Linked DNA regions of Xenopus tropicalis. Each later gene encodes a partner of the first gene's protein in a complex. Links are inferred from orthologs where the notes say so. Each region holds a gene or a part of one and is shown in the gene's direction. Other genes may lie near its edges.

Region 1 (3,569 bases):
GCTGAACAAAAAAAACGTATTCAAGCCAAGAAGGACGAGAAAGCCAGAATCCGTGGGGAGAAGATTTTGCGCAAGGAGTTCAAGACAAAGGTTGTTAATATTATTTTAAATGCTTTTTTCCCCACTAAATGAAAATATCATTTAATGCAGAGTTGGGTATGTCAGTTTTTTAATCAGAATCCAAAACCCATGCATGCATGAGAACATTCAGATTTCTTGCTTATAGTTCTCTGACTGGAATGAAACCTCAAATCATTTACATACCTTTCTTAGGGCAAAATTGAAAGTAGTCTCATGAGTTTAATTCTTGAAGGACCAAAGTCCTGTCTTTTTTCATGCTTATGTTATATCATTCTCTTGCGCCATTATAGTGATGTCAGCAGTTTTCACCAGCTTTCTTCATATGTAGCTTGCACGAACTGAGCCCTCTTGTACTGAACTGTAAAGGGCACCCATTCCTTTATTTAATTGGTTAGGATTTATTAGAATTTTCTTTTCCAGATCCCTTAGTTTGTTCCTATGTATAAGATACTGAAACCGCACATACACATTTTTTTAATCTGTCCTAGATGTGCACAATCATTCACTTTTAAAGGATATGACTGCTAATGGTGCTCGTTTTTTAGTATCTCATTATTGCATTTGTTGAGTGCAAAAAGAAAAAAAAGTCATTAACTGATAACTGACAACTCATTCTGTGTCCACAGGTGCTGGATCTGATAGAGGTGTTTGTGAAAAAGCAGCCTGACAGTCCTCTTGTATTTAACATCATTGAACCATTAATTTCTGTAATTGAACAAAGCATGAATTCTGAATCTAACCAACAGGAACAAGACTTTCTCAGAAAAACAGCAGACATTTTCATGTAAGTACCCAAGCACATGATGCACATATCCAGATTAGTTTGGGATTCAGTGAGGTAGATATAGTAACATAGTAAGTTAGGTTGTAGTTGATCCAGAGAGAGGCAAAAAACCCCATCTGAAGCCTTTCTAATTTGTCGCAGAGGGGAAAAAATCCTTCCTGACTCCAAGATGGCAATCCAGTCCCTGGATCAACTTGTACTAAGAGCTATCTCCCATAACCCTGTATTCCCTCACTTGCTAAGAATCCATCCAGCCCCTTCTTAAAGCTATATAATGTTTCAGCCAGTACAACTGATTCGGGGAGGGAATTCCACAACTTCACAGCTCTCCAGTAAAGAATCCTTTCCGAATATTTAAACGGAACCTCCCTTCTTCTAAACGGAGTAGGTGCCCTTGTGTCCGTTGGAAGGACCTAATGGTAAATAAAGCATTATAGATGTTATTATATGGCCCCCTTATATATTTATACATAGTTATCATGTCACCTCTTAAAGGAGAATGCAAGTCAAAATTTAAAAAGCATACTGCCCAATAGTCCTCCTATTATTTAGTAAAAACGCCACACTTTTGGCTCACCTAATCAAATATTTACTCAGTCACACTTACTTCACATTTTCTAGAACAGGCAGCCATCTCCAAAAAGGTATTCTCCCTTCCTTTCCCTTCTTGCTTCATACTGCACATGTGTTTCATTCCCTCCCCTCTGCCAGATCCGCTTCCAGCCTACAGGAAGGACAGAGAGATTTCAGTGATGTCACTGTAGTCTTCACACTGCTGTAGGCTGCCAGCACCATATCTCAGAGAAGCAAGCAGAGATCTGGGAATTTAGATATGCAGTTAGTACTTAAAAAGAATGCCTTTAGACTTACTTTTAATTTATATTAACCTTTCATTGTCCTTTAAGCGCCTCTTCTCCAGTGTAAACAGACCCAACTTGGCCCAGTCTTTCTTCATAACCGAGACTTTGCCCTTCTCTGGACCCTCTCTAATTCAATAATGTCCCGTTTGTGCACTGGAGACCAAAACTGAACAGCATATTCTAGATGGGGCCTTACCAGCGCTCTGTAAAGGGGAAGAATAGCCCCCTCCTCCCGTGAATCTATACCCCTTTTAATACAGCTCAAAACCCTGTTTGCCCTTGCAGCTGCTGCCTGGCATTGCTTGCTACAGCCAAGTTTATTATCTACAAGGACTCCAAGGTCCTTCTCCATTATGGATTTGCCTAGTGCAGTCCCATTAAGGGTGGCTTGCATATTTTTACATCCCAGTTGCATGACCTTTATATTTATCCACATTAAATCTCATCTGCCACTCTGCTGCCCAGATTGCCAGTTGGTCAAGATCCTGCTGCAAGGATGCCACATCCTTGCTGTAGGATTTAAAATTTTAAGTTGTGTAACTTTTTCTTACCAAGAAAAAACAAACAAATGAAAAAAATCTTGAATGTTCACTTATTTATTAAAAGATCCAAATATAAAAAGCATGATCAAATAAAATTTACAGTGAAAATGAAGAAGAATATGAAAACTTTGAAATCCTCATTTTTATAAGAATTTAGAGCACTAACAAATAACTCGAATTAAATAATGATTGTTACAATTTTCCTAGGACAGCTACCATTGAAATCTACATGAGCACGACAAGCTTTTAGATGGCGTAGTTTTATATTAGTGTTTTTCATAGTTTTTACACTTGGTAAATTATGAAAAATTTGTTTTGTCAAGTAATTAGTAAAATATGTGATTTTTAGAGCTTGATAGTATGATTTGTGAAAGAGCAAAAAACAAAGGTTCATAAATCGGCCCCTACCTGTTTATTTATTTTCCCAGAGCTGAAACTTTATTTTACGAAAGGAGTTCTGTAATATAAAATATATAAATTTTTTTATTGCATGTTACCTGTCTGTTATAACTGTTGCAGAGATAAAATCTCACAGGGTAGGAGCATGTTACTTGGGTGCAAAACACTTGTTTTATCTGTTTTTCCAATAGAATTGTCCACGGGTATTAAAATTAAGTAGTTGATACATTTAGCCTTGACCCATTATTGGCCTGAGACATATGTCACCTGATATGGGTGAAGTAATATCTTTTAGGGCTCTGGCACACGTTGTCAGCAAGAAGGATCTGACATGCTCAGAGTAATGCTTAAACAGACAGAAGAAGGGGCCACAAAAACATAATTTAATGGGAACACATTGACTTGTGAAATGCAATTTATTTTGTAAAGGGCAGTAGCTACTCTGAATTGAATTACACTCAGGAGTTGCAGTCAGAGATATGTGTATGATGAGGTCCTGAGGAGGCTGAAACATTACACGTTACTCACATATAGTGAGATAGTAAAACCATTTTTATGACGGGACAGTATCCTGGATTCAAAACTATAAGCGTATAAGTGGCAAGCGTATTAACTAGGTCCTATTCAATAGTGCTGAATTAGAATATAAGGCTTTCTGTTCTTTCTCTACCTTATAGGAATGATTTATGTAAAGCCAAGCGTTATTGTAAAGATGTTGGAGAGCTTAAGGAAGAACTGCACGGCATGATGGAAAGGCTTGTGGCAAAAGCCTGCAAACAAAGTGACTCTTCTGTGGCATTATACTGTTTCAGGTAAGCCAGTCCCTTTAATTTTGGAGTAAAACTCTGCTTTTCGCTTAAACACAGTTATACCAGTGCTCTTCTAGGCCCAGAGTATATGCTG
Region 2 (3,569 bases), on another chromosome or scaffold:
TGTTACATAAAAGGCCTGCTCCTGTGGAATATTGCTAACTTTTGTTCCATTTTTACAATTTCACAGCCACCGAAGAAAATTGCAAAAAAGGCAAAATCAAAGCCTAAATCAACACCCAAAGGCAAAAAAGCTGCAAAATCAGCAAATGTCAAAAAAGCTGACAGTAGTACTGCTAACAAGAAAAGTCAAGGAAATGCCAAAAAAGGTAAGCTGTGCTTTAACAGATTTTTTTTTTCTTAAAAACTGCAGTTATTCTATTCTAAACATTGTGTATTTTATCAAAATTAGTTGAAAAAAAAATATAATATTGTAGCCATCTTCTGTTAAAAAATATATTCTCCATCTGAGAACAATACTCCTGAAAGTATATCTAAACACATATCATATAAACAGCCTCTGTGTAGATAGCTCTATAATACAAGATAGCTCTTTAATACAAGTATATTGTAAATCCCTACTAACAAATGTATAGTGTCACCCCACCCAACGTTGGCTGCATTTACAGCAATTACAGTTGTGCTTTTGGAGTAAGTGCATATCAGACTTGCACAATATTGAGGGATGATATCGACCCATTATTCCAGACAGGTTTTCTCCATGTTGTCAAATGATTAGTGAGCAGCTCAATTTTTAAATATTGCCATATATTCTTTGGTTGGATTGGGATTTTGCCTTTAACTGAACCATTGTTGGACATAGATATTTTTTCTCACGTCTAGGGGGACACGGACCATGGGGGTAAAGGGCCCCTCCCATCAGGAGGCAGGACTCTGATGACATCAGATCTGAGGACCCACCTACTCTCCCTTTATCCCCTACCGCCCCTGAAGGGCACCAGTTTTTTCAGTGTCCTTCATACAGCAGGTTGGACTGGCCTCTAGGAGGCCCAGCAAGATTTCTTCGGTCAGTAGATAGTACTGGCACCCGGGGTGAGGCCTTGTCAGACCTGTTCTGTTCATTACAGGCAAGCCCCCGACGTGGGATCCACAGGAAACCCGATTCCCCTGCGGGACAAAATGCTCAATGCCCTGCTTCAGCACTCTAATCAGAGTAAGTATGCGGGGCAGGCACCGGAGATACTATTTCTCTGCTCGTGTTCCCCTGCCATGCTACCAGCGTGCTATCACACCGCTTCCCCTGCCGCACGGCTTTATTTGGCGCGCTGCCAGTCATAAGTGCTGTCATCGCTACTTGCGACCGGAAGCAACACATTTGTGCACAAGGGAGAGCCAACAATGCACCTCACAGCACTGTTCGCGCCATTCAGGGTACGGCAGACGTGATTAACTGACCCAGGGCTGCGGACTCTCTGCATCTACTTCCCATTCAGGGACATTCAATAACAGTAACAGCGACATCGCCAAGCATTCTCTTAGTAGAGCGGAAGGCACTGTTCTCAAGGGGGGGTAAGCACCCTAACCTGCTTGCAACCTTTTTTGCATGCACCAAGTGCCTTACAAAGTTCAGGGAGGGCCAAGCTGATCCGCTCTGCTCCACTTGCAGCCCTACCCAAGCACACACCTCTGATACTCTAACCCCTTCGCTATTAGGGACAGGTTCTAATGGAACCATATAGGGCTCCTCTACCATGGGCATCTCAGACCCTGAAGGGCCTTCCGAGGTACCAGGCTGGGCACTCACATTGTCTCAGTCCCTATCAAGCCTGCAATGCATACCACAATTGGCATCTTCTGTTGATAAGATGCTTACCAAAATGGCGTACGCCTCTGATGTTACACCTGAATGCAAGCAGCCTTGTCTAGCAGAAACATCCCTTAAGGGTTCTTTCACGCTTCCCTCTTCTGATGAAGAGATCAGCGATGGGCAGATAGTCTCCTCCCCAGCGGCCTCTGACTCCAGCGAGGAGGACACCACGGCTGACACAACACCTGGTGTGGAAAGCCTAATTAGGGCAGTTCTAGAAACCCTAAACATTCAGGAGGAGGAGTCTACTCAAAAAAAGGCTGTTTAAAAGGCAATGCAAGACATCAGTAGCCTTTTGAGCTCACAAACAATTACAGAATTTGATTCTTGAGGAGTGGAAATCTCCTGATAAGAAATTTCAGGTTACTAAATTTCTTTTCCAAACAGTATCCTTTTCCCAAGGACTCAGTGGAGTGCTCCTCACCGCTCCCCCAGTCCCAGACGCCTCAGTGTTCAAGGACCCAACTGACAAGAGGATGGAGGGTCTTCTTCCTCTCCACCGGGTCAGCACTGTGGCCCATCCTAGCCTCTGCCTGGGTCAGTCAGGCTGTCGAAACATGGTCAGTCCCAAGGACGGTCCCAAAGACACAATCATCCAACTGGCTTCTTACATCCAAGAAGCCTACCAGTTCCTAGCAGATGCCTCACTTGACGTGGCTAGGGTCATTGCGAGGGCATCTGCGTTCTCAGTTGCCACATGAAGAGCACCTTTGTTGAAGCTTTGGTCGGCTGACATTGGCTCTAAAAAAATCCCTGATATCCATTCCCTTTCAGGGATAGTAGTTATTTGGCGATGAACTGGACAAGATAATTTCTCAGGCTACTGGGGGCAAAAGTACTCTCTTGCCCCAGAATAAACCCAAGTCTGGAAGGGACAGTCCTTTTGGAACCAAGGGTTTCGTAACTTCAGATCCAGTTCACAATCGAACTCCCAGACTACCTCCAAGAATTGGTTCTCCAACAAGGGGAAATCCACATGGCAACCCCAAAGACACTTGCCAAAACAGACAGGAGACAAGGTGACCTCCTCCTGTCTACAGTCTGGTGGCCCTGGACACAGGTTCCATAGGAGGTCGACTTCGATTCTTCGCAGAAACCTGGTCACGACTAACATTCCAGAGACACTCAGTCCAGGGACTTTGGTCACAGACAGAGTCGCCATTAGCGATAAACATTCTAGAGATCAGGGCCATCCTGCGGGCATTTCAGGCATGGGAAAACATTCTGAAAGGCCAAGCTGTGAGAATACAGTCGGACAATGCAACGGCGGTGGCTTATGTCAGCCGACAAGGAGACTCAAGAAGTAGGAGAGTAAACCTATAAGTGACTCGCATACTGGAGTGGGCAGAAAGAACAGACACCCTGATCTCGGCAATACACATTCCCAGAGTAGACAACGTAGAAGCCGATTACCTCAGGAGACATCGGTTGCACCCAGGAGAATGGAGTCTACTGAAGAATGTTTTTCAACTGCTGACTAGGAAGTGGGGAGAACCATAAATCGATTTTAATGTCATCCAGGCACAACCGGAAGGTACCCAGATTCTTCCCAAGACAGAGATTCACTAGCGGAGGGCGTAGATGCCATGGCAGTCCCTTGGCACTTCAGACTAGCTTACGTGTTTCCTCCCCTTCCCATGCTACCTCGGGTGTTGCGAAAGATTGCCAGGGAACCGGTCACAGTAAATATTGACCATGATTATAAGGCACGCAAACCAATACGTCCAAGATGTATCATAGAACATGGGAATGTTACAGAACACGGTGCAAGAAGGAAGAGGTACTGTTTCCAGAATTCTGGCTAGCATGGCTTCTACAGTTTCTACAAGATGGCCTCCAAAAAGGTCTCAGACTGGGGTCACTAA
Region 3 (4,222 bases), on another chromosome or scaffold:
CGGAAGGAGGAATCGCTGCTACCCCGGGCTGGTGCTGTTCTCTCCGTACAGGGGCACCAGCCCGGGGTAGAAGGTAAGAGATTAAAGTCACTGGGGGTGCCTAACATTTTGGCTCCTCCAAGTGACTTTGCCTTTCCCTCTCCTTTAAAGTTTGACCACAAGGGTGTTTGAGTATTTTGATTATATTACACTAGATCAGTGATCCCCACCAGTGGCTCGGGGGCAACATGTTGGATGTTGCTCTCAGTGACCCCAAACCAGGGAGTTATTGTTGAATTCCTGACTTGGGGGCAAGTTTTGGTTTAATAAAAACAAGATTTCCTACCAAATAAAGCCCCCTGTAAGCTGATAGGGTGCATAGAGGCCCCTAATAGCCAATCACGGCCCTTATTTGGCACCTCCATGAACTTTTATGGTGCTTGTGTTGCTCCCCAAGTCTTTTTACATGACTGTGGCTCCCGCGTAGGAAAGGTTGGGGATCCCTGGACTAAATGTTCATTTTTCTTATTCCCTTGTAGCTTTCAGCGCCAATCTGTGTTGTTTATTTGAGGATCCAGCTTTGAAAAGCTGTGAATCAGATCGGCAAACTAACCTTTTTAAAAAGTGAACTTATCCTTTGACTATTCCCAAACTTCATATAGCATACACAGGGCGGCACTGGAAAGCCTGATTAAGGGGCAGAATCAGCCCTGTATAGAGCCCCAATGTTTCTCATAACAGCCCCCTGGGCAATACCTTAGTTTCTTAGTATAGCCTATTCTATCTCATACTAATGGTATTCCTAAAATAACTTGAAATGACCCCTTATTTTGAAAGACTAGAAGTTCACGTTTACTAGGGTGTGAAAATGAAAAATATTTCATTTGTAGATGTTTGGTTTAAGGTACATTGTAGAAAACAATCCCCATTCTCAACCTACATGACAAACTCCTAAGAGGGCAGAGTACAAACCCGCTAAATGCGACATACACTGTACCCAACCATTGACAACAAACTATTCTCGCGAGATTTTAGGCAGAAACATCCCCGTAAACCCGGCAATTTAGAAGCCCGCCCCTTTTTTCCCGCCTCCCATTCAATCTGTAGACACGCCCATTATTCCACTCTTGCGCGGGTACAATAGTTTTTTTTATGCGCGCCGCCGCTGCCTCTGCCATATGGGCCACTCGCATCACCCTAGCGTAGGCTTGCGGGGCCAAATCTCGCGGGATCTGGTCTCGGCTCCCTAGTAAAGCTTAGATCTCGCGAGATCTCAAACGGATTGGTGCGTTTTTTTCCCCTCTCCCTGGTGACGCGCGCTGTCGATCAAAGAGGGAAAAAGCCGGCACATTGCGAGTGCGCTCTCCTACGCGCCCCCTACGCTCTCTTCCTAGTGGCTCCCGCCAGCAGCGTGTGGGATTACACACGCATCCATTCAAGGATCGCGCTTTACTCCGGGTTTCTCATTAAACCCCCTGCCTCGTTGTGTGAGCCCCGCGTTGGACGGACGGTGTTAGTAGATCCTGATCATGTCCGCGGAAGGCACCGAGCAGCAGCCGGCTCCGGACACCGTAGCGAAAGAGGAAAAAGGAGAAGCAAAGGAGGCTATGGAAGTAGATACGGGCGATCAGGCGAAACAAGAGCCGGGCGGAGACGCAGTTAAAGAGGAAGCGATGGAGGTAAGAGGAGCCGGCCCAGGCAGCACGCACTTTATGGCTCCTACCAAGGAACTCAAACTTCTTCTTTATCTTGAACGTCATTATTTTAACCATCTCCTGGCCGCTGAGAGTTGTAGTTTTTCAGCAGCTAGATATGTCTTATCTGCTCATTCACTTGCGTATGTGAGAACCTGTAGAGTTAAAGCGGACCTCTCTGTCCCATTGAAATGTCCAGCCGTGAGTGCGCATGTGCGCGGTAGCCGGGCTTCTGCCTCACGGTACCTCTCATTTCCTATATATATATATATATATATATATTATAAGTATTGGCTAGGTGTGGTGCTTCGCACTCTCTTAGCATTGGGCTTCTCATTGTTCCAAAAGTCATTCTAAAGCCCCAGCGGCTCCTCCCAGTACGGGGCGTGGCTACTGTTAGTGCTGGTCGCTCTCCAGGCCTCCAACTCTTTGTTAGCTGACATGCTATACTACATTTCCATCATCCTGCTGCCAGCCTTTCTATCGGCTCACGGAACATGTACAAGGAGTAGTGCCGATATCTGTGGCCTCTTACGTAATTTTTCTAATGGAGATTCTTATGTGTTCCTAGTTCACTTACTGCTGATCATTTATCAGCAATCTGCATCTGGACAGTAACCCATAGCAACCAATCAGAGATGAGCTTTTTTTCATCCTTCTTCAGTTAGAACAATAATAGCAAACTTTGATCGATTGTCATGGGTTAATGCAAGGGTGCAAGTTTTAACCAACTTTATCAAATAAACTCTACTCACTTTTCTCATTTAAGTTATTAACTGTATGCAAGATCTTTTCTGCCCTTGATCTAAATTAGTTATCTTTGTGTTCCTGTTTTTCAGCCTTTTGGCTTTATTTTTATTCGCCTGACTTATTATAAATAGTTGATGGAATACTGTATTTCTAAGCAATCAGTTCTCCCTGTTCAATGAACAGCTGTTTGTAGTCAGTCCCTGTTTATTGGGCCTGTGGGGACTGTTTGGCTTTCTTTGCACCTGATAAACCAGGGTTTATTTCATTTCCCAGTCCAGTCATTTAATAGTTCTTGCCAGTGTTCTCCCCAGAAAAAAAATAAATGTGATATAGCTGAGGTTAAGGGGGCTTAACCCATTTATTATCCAAATGGGTAAAAGTCCAGCCCATCTGTTCCACTTCCTCCGTTCCCAGGCCATGCAGCACTTTGCACTGTAGGATTGAAGCCAATCAGCAATTAGGCTGACCTGATAGGGAACTGAAGCCTATCTGTGCAGAGGTGTGTGTGCTATCCTACTGTGCTTCTGGCAGGGAAAGTTAGAACATGCCCACACTGCATTTGAAACACAGGCAGGGACCCGAGAGAATCTATAGGAAGCTCTGATAAAGGGTTCATTTTTACAGATAGTGGTATTAAAGACCAAAGTGAAACCAGCACCATATAGTATTCATAATTGCCTACAAGATTAGAGATTTTTTCATTTATCCTATGTCTCCTTTAACGTCTATTAGCCCCTTTATTAGGGGGCAAATCTAAATACATAAGTACCAGAATATATACATAATAGACATTTAAGGACTTATGAATAGACGTTTAAAATTTATGCACTATAACCAGTCCGTAATCCCATGATTTTCAACAGTGGAAAGTCACAAATTCAGTTACATTACCAGTTTTTACATATCTCTTAAATTTAGACTAAAGGCCCCCTTACACGGGCCGATAGAAGCTGCCGATATCGGTCCCTTGGACCGGCTCGGCAGCTTATCTGCCCGTGTAGGGGCAGAAACGAGCGGGCTGGCCGACCGATATCTGGCCTGAAATTGGCCAGATATCGATCGGCCAGGTTAAAAGATTCAGTCGGATCGGAGGCCGCATCAGCTCGTTGATGCGGTCCCCGAACCGACTGCCCCATTGCTGCCTACATAATCCGGTCGTTTGGCCCCAGGGCCAAACAATCGGATTATTTTTTTTTTTAACTTCAAGCTAGCTCAAGTGTATCGCTAGTAGGGAAGAAATTGCCAGCCAGGTAAAAATAGGCCTTGGTGGGGATAAAAATTAAATGTTCCTGCCCCTAAAAGAAAAACTTTAACAGAAGCTAAGAGGACTGTGTGCTTCTTCAAATGCATCGCACTGTCCTTCCAACTTCTGTAACAGAAATTTCATCTACATAAGAGGTGGGGAAAACTTTGGCTGTTTGCCTTGTGTAAGGAAATAAAAAGGGCAGATTTGTTATTTGTTCCCTGAAATCGCGGAAGTTTCCTCTCAAGACAACTTCCGCTATTTCAGGGAAATCGCGGCGCCACGTATGCCATCCCACCGGTAATTTGCATTTTCGCCAGTGGGATGGCATTTCGGGGAGATTAGTTGCCCGTGAACAGGGAGATTTGTTGCGGGCGACTAATCTCCCCGTGTGCCAGAGCCCTTAAGATGACCACACACGTGGCGATTTTTGATCTTTCTGTTGCACGAAAGATCGTTCCAACCCACCCTGACATTCAGGGCTGAATCATCAGATATGGAAAAGTAGAAACAATAGGATTTCTACCTCCTTCTGTCAATTCAGCCGTGAAGGCAG
Region 4 (3,569 bases), on another chromosome or scaffold:
CTTTAGGGCTCTGGCACACGGGGGAGATTAGTCGCCCGCGATTAACTCCCTGTTCGCGGGCGACTTATCTCCCCGAGTTGCCTACCCCTGCCATCCCACCGGCGAACATGTAAGTCGCCGGCGGGATGGCAGACGCGGCGCGATTTCGCGCAAATTGCTGAAAAAGACTCGCGAGTCTTTTTCGGCGATTTCCGGAAATCGCCCCGCCACGTCTGCCATCCCGCCGGCGACTTACATGTTAAATACAGTTCTTAAAAAGTTCTTAGATAAAATCCCTATTACTGGTATGAATTTTTGGTTTGGGAATGTGACGTATTCATAGATTTGAGTTTTGGAGGGAGAGATGAGTAATTATAGTAATTATAGAATACGTGCAGGATTTGGGTGCTGTGATTTAAATTTTCTTTTTTTGATCTTGTTTCCTAGGATTCTGTAATGTTAAATGGATTTGGCACTGTTGTAAATGCTCTTGGTAAAAGAGTAAAGCCTTACCTGCCTCAAATTTGTGGAACAGTCTTGTGGAGGTTGAACAATAAATCTGCTAAAGTAAGACAGCAGGCTGCTGACTTGATATCCCGCACTGCAGTTGTCATGAAGACTTGTCAAGAGGTGTGTTTGTTGGGGGGGGGGGGGGTTGTGTGTTGTTTTTTTTTTTGGAGGTGGGGATTGTTTAATTTACTAAACAACCTATCTTATGTTTCATTATAGGAAAAATTGATGGGACATTTGGGTGTTGTTTTATATGAATATCTTGGAGAAGAGTACCCTGAAGTACTGGGAAGTATTTTAGGAGCTCTTAAAGCAATCGTAAATGTTATAGGTAAGTATGAATCAGTGAATTTTCTCATTTTTGTGCCTATTTTAATAAATGAAAATTCTGCTCACTCTTTAACTTTGGCACACTAGGAATGCACAAGATGACACCTCCAATTAAGGATCTTCTACCACGGTTAACACCTATCCTGAAAAATAGACACGAGAAAGTACAGGAGAACTGCATTGATCTTGTTGGGCGTATTGCTGACAGGTAAAGTGCTTAAATGCTATTTTAATTTTCGATCTCCAATATGTCCTTTTATTACAAGATAAAACATCCTGAATATTAATGTCAAGGGTCTTTTGACCAAAATATGTGTATCTAAAATCATAATAGTGCATATTACATATTAAATCATGAAAAGGAAAAAAAGTGGGGCATTCATATTAGGTATACTAGTTCAGATGTAGCAAAGTCTCATATAAGAAAGTTCTAGATCTACATAGAGGCAGTATTTGATTAAGCCTCTTAGGTGCTACTGTATCCAGTGGGAAAATGTTAGAGAATGTTAAGTATAACAGTGATTTCATTGCTTTCAAAGAAATTGACTGTGTGTATGGGTGGCTACTGGGACCAATGGATGATACATTGCATGAAAAGAAATACACTAAGCCCACACACAAGCCACATAATCTGATGTAGAAACACCAACTGCTACTGGTACTCCTTTAAACTAACTCACAAGACACACACATAGAAAATGAAGACCACCGTGAACGGAGGTCACCATTTTTGCAAGTTTCAGTGTGTGTGTACACACATTAAATTACTTAAGTTGTTCTGTGCTTATAATTCCATTATTTGGAAATACTACTTCAACTATTGTGTGCTGTCCAACTTTTGTGGTACCGAGGGCCAGAATTTTTGTGGCCTGTGTGGTGGATGGCTAATAATGGAAGCCATTTTTGACCACTCCTCCCCCTTTTTAAACTGTACCCACTCCAAACCACACCAATGTTATCACAAGAGCTTTTAAGATCATACTGACATTGATGATGGTAGCACAGCAAAAACCCAAATAGTTGGTGCTCACTGTAGGGATATTACCCTTCATTCATATGTGAAAGAATTATATTATGTCATATTAAGACATACCCTTAAATCCATATGCCTCATCCTCCCTTGTGGATAGCACAGCAACCCCCACCATATAATTAGACACCTTAGGGACCATATAATAACTATTTCCAAATGCTACAAACTCCTAGAACAAAACCCTGCCTGGTTCACCTCCCACAGGCAACGTAGGGCAGGCAGTGTATGGTGCACACAGGCAGCATTGGGCAGGCAGAGTATGACATACACAAGCAGTATAGGGCAGGCAAAGTATGGCAGTATTCTGCATGCTCTATGCTGCCAGTGTGTGCCATACTATCCCAGCCCTATGCTGCCCTGTGTGCGCCATACTCTGCCTGCCCTATGCTGCCTGTGTGTGCAGTACATATAGTGACACAATGCTGACACTGCTCCTACAGTGTGTCTGAGGTGTGAACAATGTGGGGTCTTACAGTCTGAGCCTGAGGTGTGAACAGTACATTCACTAAAAGGTATGAAAAGTACCGGGGATTACAGCCTGAATCTGAGGATAATAATGCCAGTTAATCTCAGTACTGATACAAGTATGGAACCCATTAACCAGAATGCTCAGGACCTGGGGTTTTCTGGATAAGTGATCTTTCCATAATTTGGATCACCTTACATTGTCTACTAAAAGATTTTTCAAACATTAAAAAAAAAAATCAACAGAATTGTTTTGCTTCCAATAAGGAGTAATTATATCTTAGTTGGGATCAAGTACAAGGTACTGTTTTAATACAGAGAAAAAGGAAATCATTTTTAAAAATTAGAATTATTTGCTTATAATGGAGTCTATGGGCCAGTTACGGGCCATCCCGTAATTTGGAACTTTCTGGATAATGGGTTTCCGGATAACGGATCCCATACCTGTACCATTTAAAGCTTACACAAAGGTAAGCAGTCACAGCAGGCAGACAGGTGGGGGGGGGACACAGAGGGGCCAGTTGGACAGCAGAGCTTTAAACAATGTAGGACTCCAAGCCTGTAACCAGTTTAAACATCATTCCAACCTATTCTGATGGAATTGATAACAATGTATAGAATAGAAAATAACTAGCTTTGTACAAATGTAATTCGTTAAATGTATTTTTTTTTTTGTAAGACAACTAACTGGCCTACACAGCTTAAAAATAATAATGATGTTCTTTCTAGAATCATCACATAAGAATAAGTGGCAAGGCTTTGATTTGGTTCAGCTAAGAGGTTTAATTGAGTTATGAGAAATTGTTCACACTTTGACTAAATATAATAGAATCTCCCTCAGGCAGAAATTAAAACAGGATCACAAAAAATGTAGGCAGCTCAAGTGGTTGTAATCACTTACCTGATACCCCAAGCCGGTGCTTCTGTTAGCAGAAAACAGCTCCAGCCAGGGGTACATGTGAGTGCTTCTTTCTTTACACTGTGGGCACATGTTAAGTGTGAAAAACCAAACATCGGCAAAAAAGCTGGCTTTTTCACTTTACCGCATATGCTTTGGCTCCAGGATTTTGGCAGTGCAGGTTTCTGCTAACAGGAGCACCAGCCCGGGGTATAAGTTAAGTGATTACAATCTGAAAGGAAAAAGAAACGGTCTCCACGCTCCAGGGTTAAAAACAAAGATCTTTATTGAAACAAAATACAAACAAGCAGTATCTGACACTTGATGCATTTTGGGTGCATCCACCCTTAATCA

The links.
Region 2: mybbp1a (region 1) and dek share a complex: the UniProt entries of both Homo sapiens proteins name them as parts of the B-WICH complex. The link is inferred for Xenopus tropicalis from reciprocal best matches to the Homo sapiens genes MYBBP1A and DEK.
Region 3: mybbp1a (region 1) and smarca5 share a complex: the UniProt entries of both Homo sapiens proteins name them as parts of the B-WICH complex. The link is inferred for Xenopus tropicalis from reciprocal best matches to the Homo sapiens genes MYBBP1A and SMARCA5.
Region 4: mybbp1a (region 1) and sf3b1 share a complex: the UniProt entries of both Homo sapiens proteins name them as parts of the B-WICH complex. The link is inferred for Xenopus tropicalis from reciprocal best matches to the Homo sapiens genes MYBBP1A and SF3B1.

Annotation. Positions count from the first base shown.
Region 1 is NC_030678.2:101,003,494-101,007,062, forward strand, and holds part of mybbp1a (myb-binding protein 1A), read left to right. Parts: coding exon 1-90; intron 91-707; coding exon 708-865; intron 866-3,343; coding exon 3,344-3,478; intron 3,479-3,569. UniProt on the Homo sapiens protein: May activate or repress transcription via interactions with sequence specific DNA-binding proteins. Repression may be mediated at least in part by histone deacetylase activity (HDAC activity).
Region 2 is NC_030682.2:93,507,171-93,510,739, reverse strand, and holds part of dek (protein DEK), read left to right. Parts: intron 1-66; coding exon 67-205; intron 206-3,569. UniProt on the Homo sapiens protein: Involved in chromatin organization.
Region 3 is NC_030677.2:59,238,841-59,243,062, reverse strand, and holds the start of smarca5 (SWI/SNF-related matrix-associated actin-dependent regulator of chromatin subfamily A member 5), read left to right. Parts: upstream 1-1,359; 5' UTR 1,360-1,508; coding exon 1,509-1,658; intron 1,659-4,222. UniProt on the Homo sapiens protein: ATPase that possesses intrinsic ATP-dependent nucleosome-remodeling activity.
Region 4 is NC_030685.2:45,859,865-45,863,433, reverse strand, and holds part of sf3b1 (splicing factor 3B subunit 1), read left to right. Parts: intron 1-426; coding exon 427-609; intron 610-708; coding exon 709-820; intron 821-906; coding exon 907-1,027; intron 1,028-3,569. UniProt on the Homo sapiens protein: Component of the 17S U2 SnRNP complex of the spliceosome, a large ribonucleoprotein complex that removes introns from transcribed pre-mRNAs.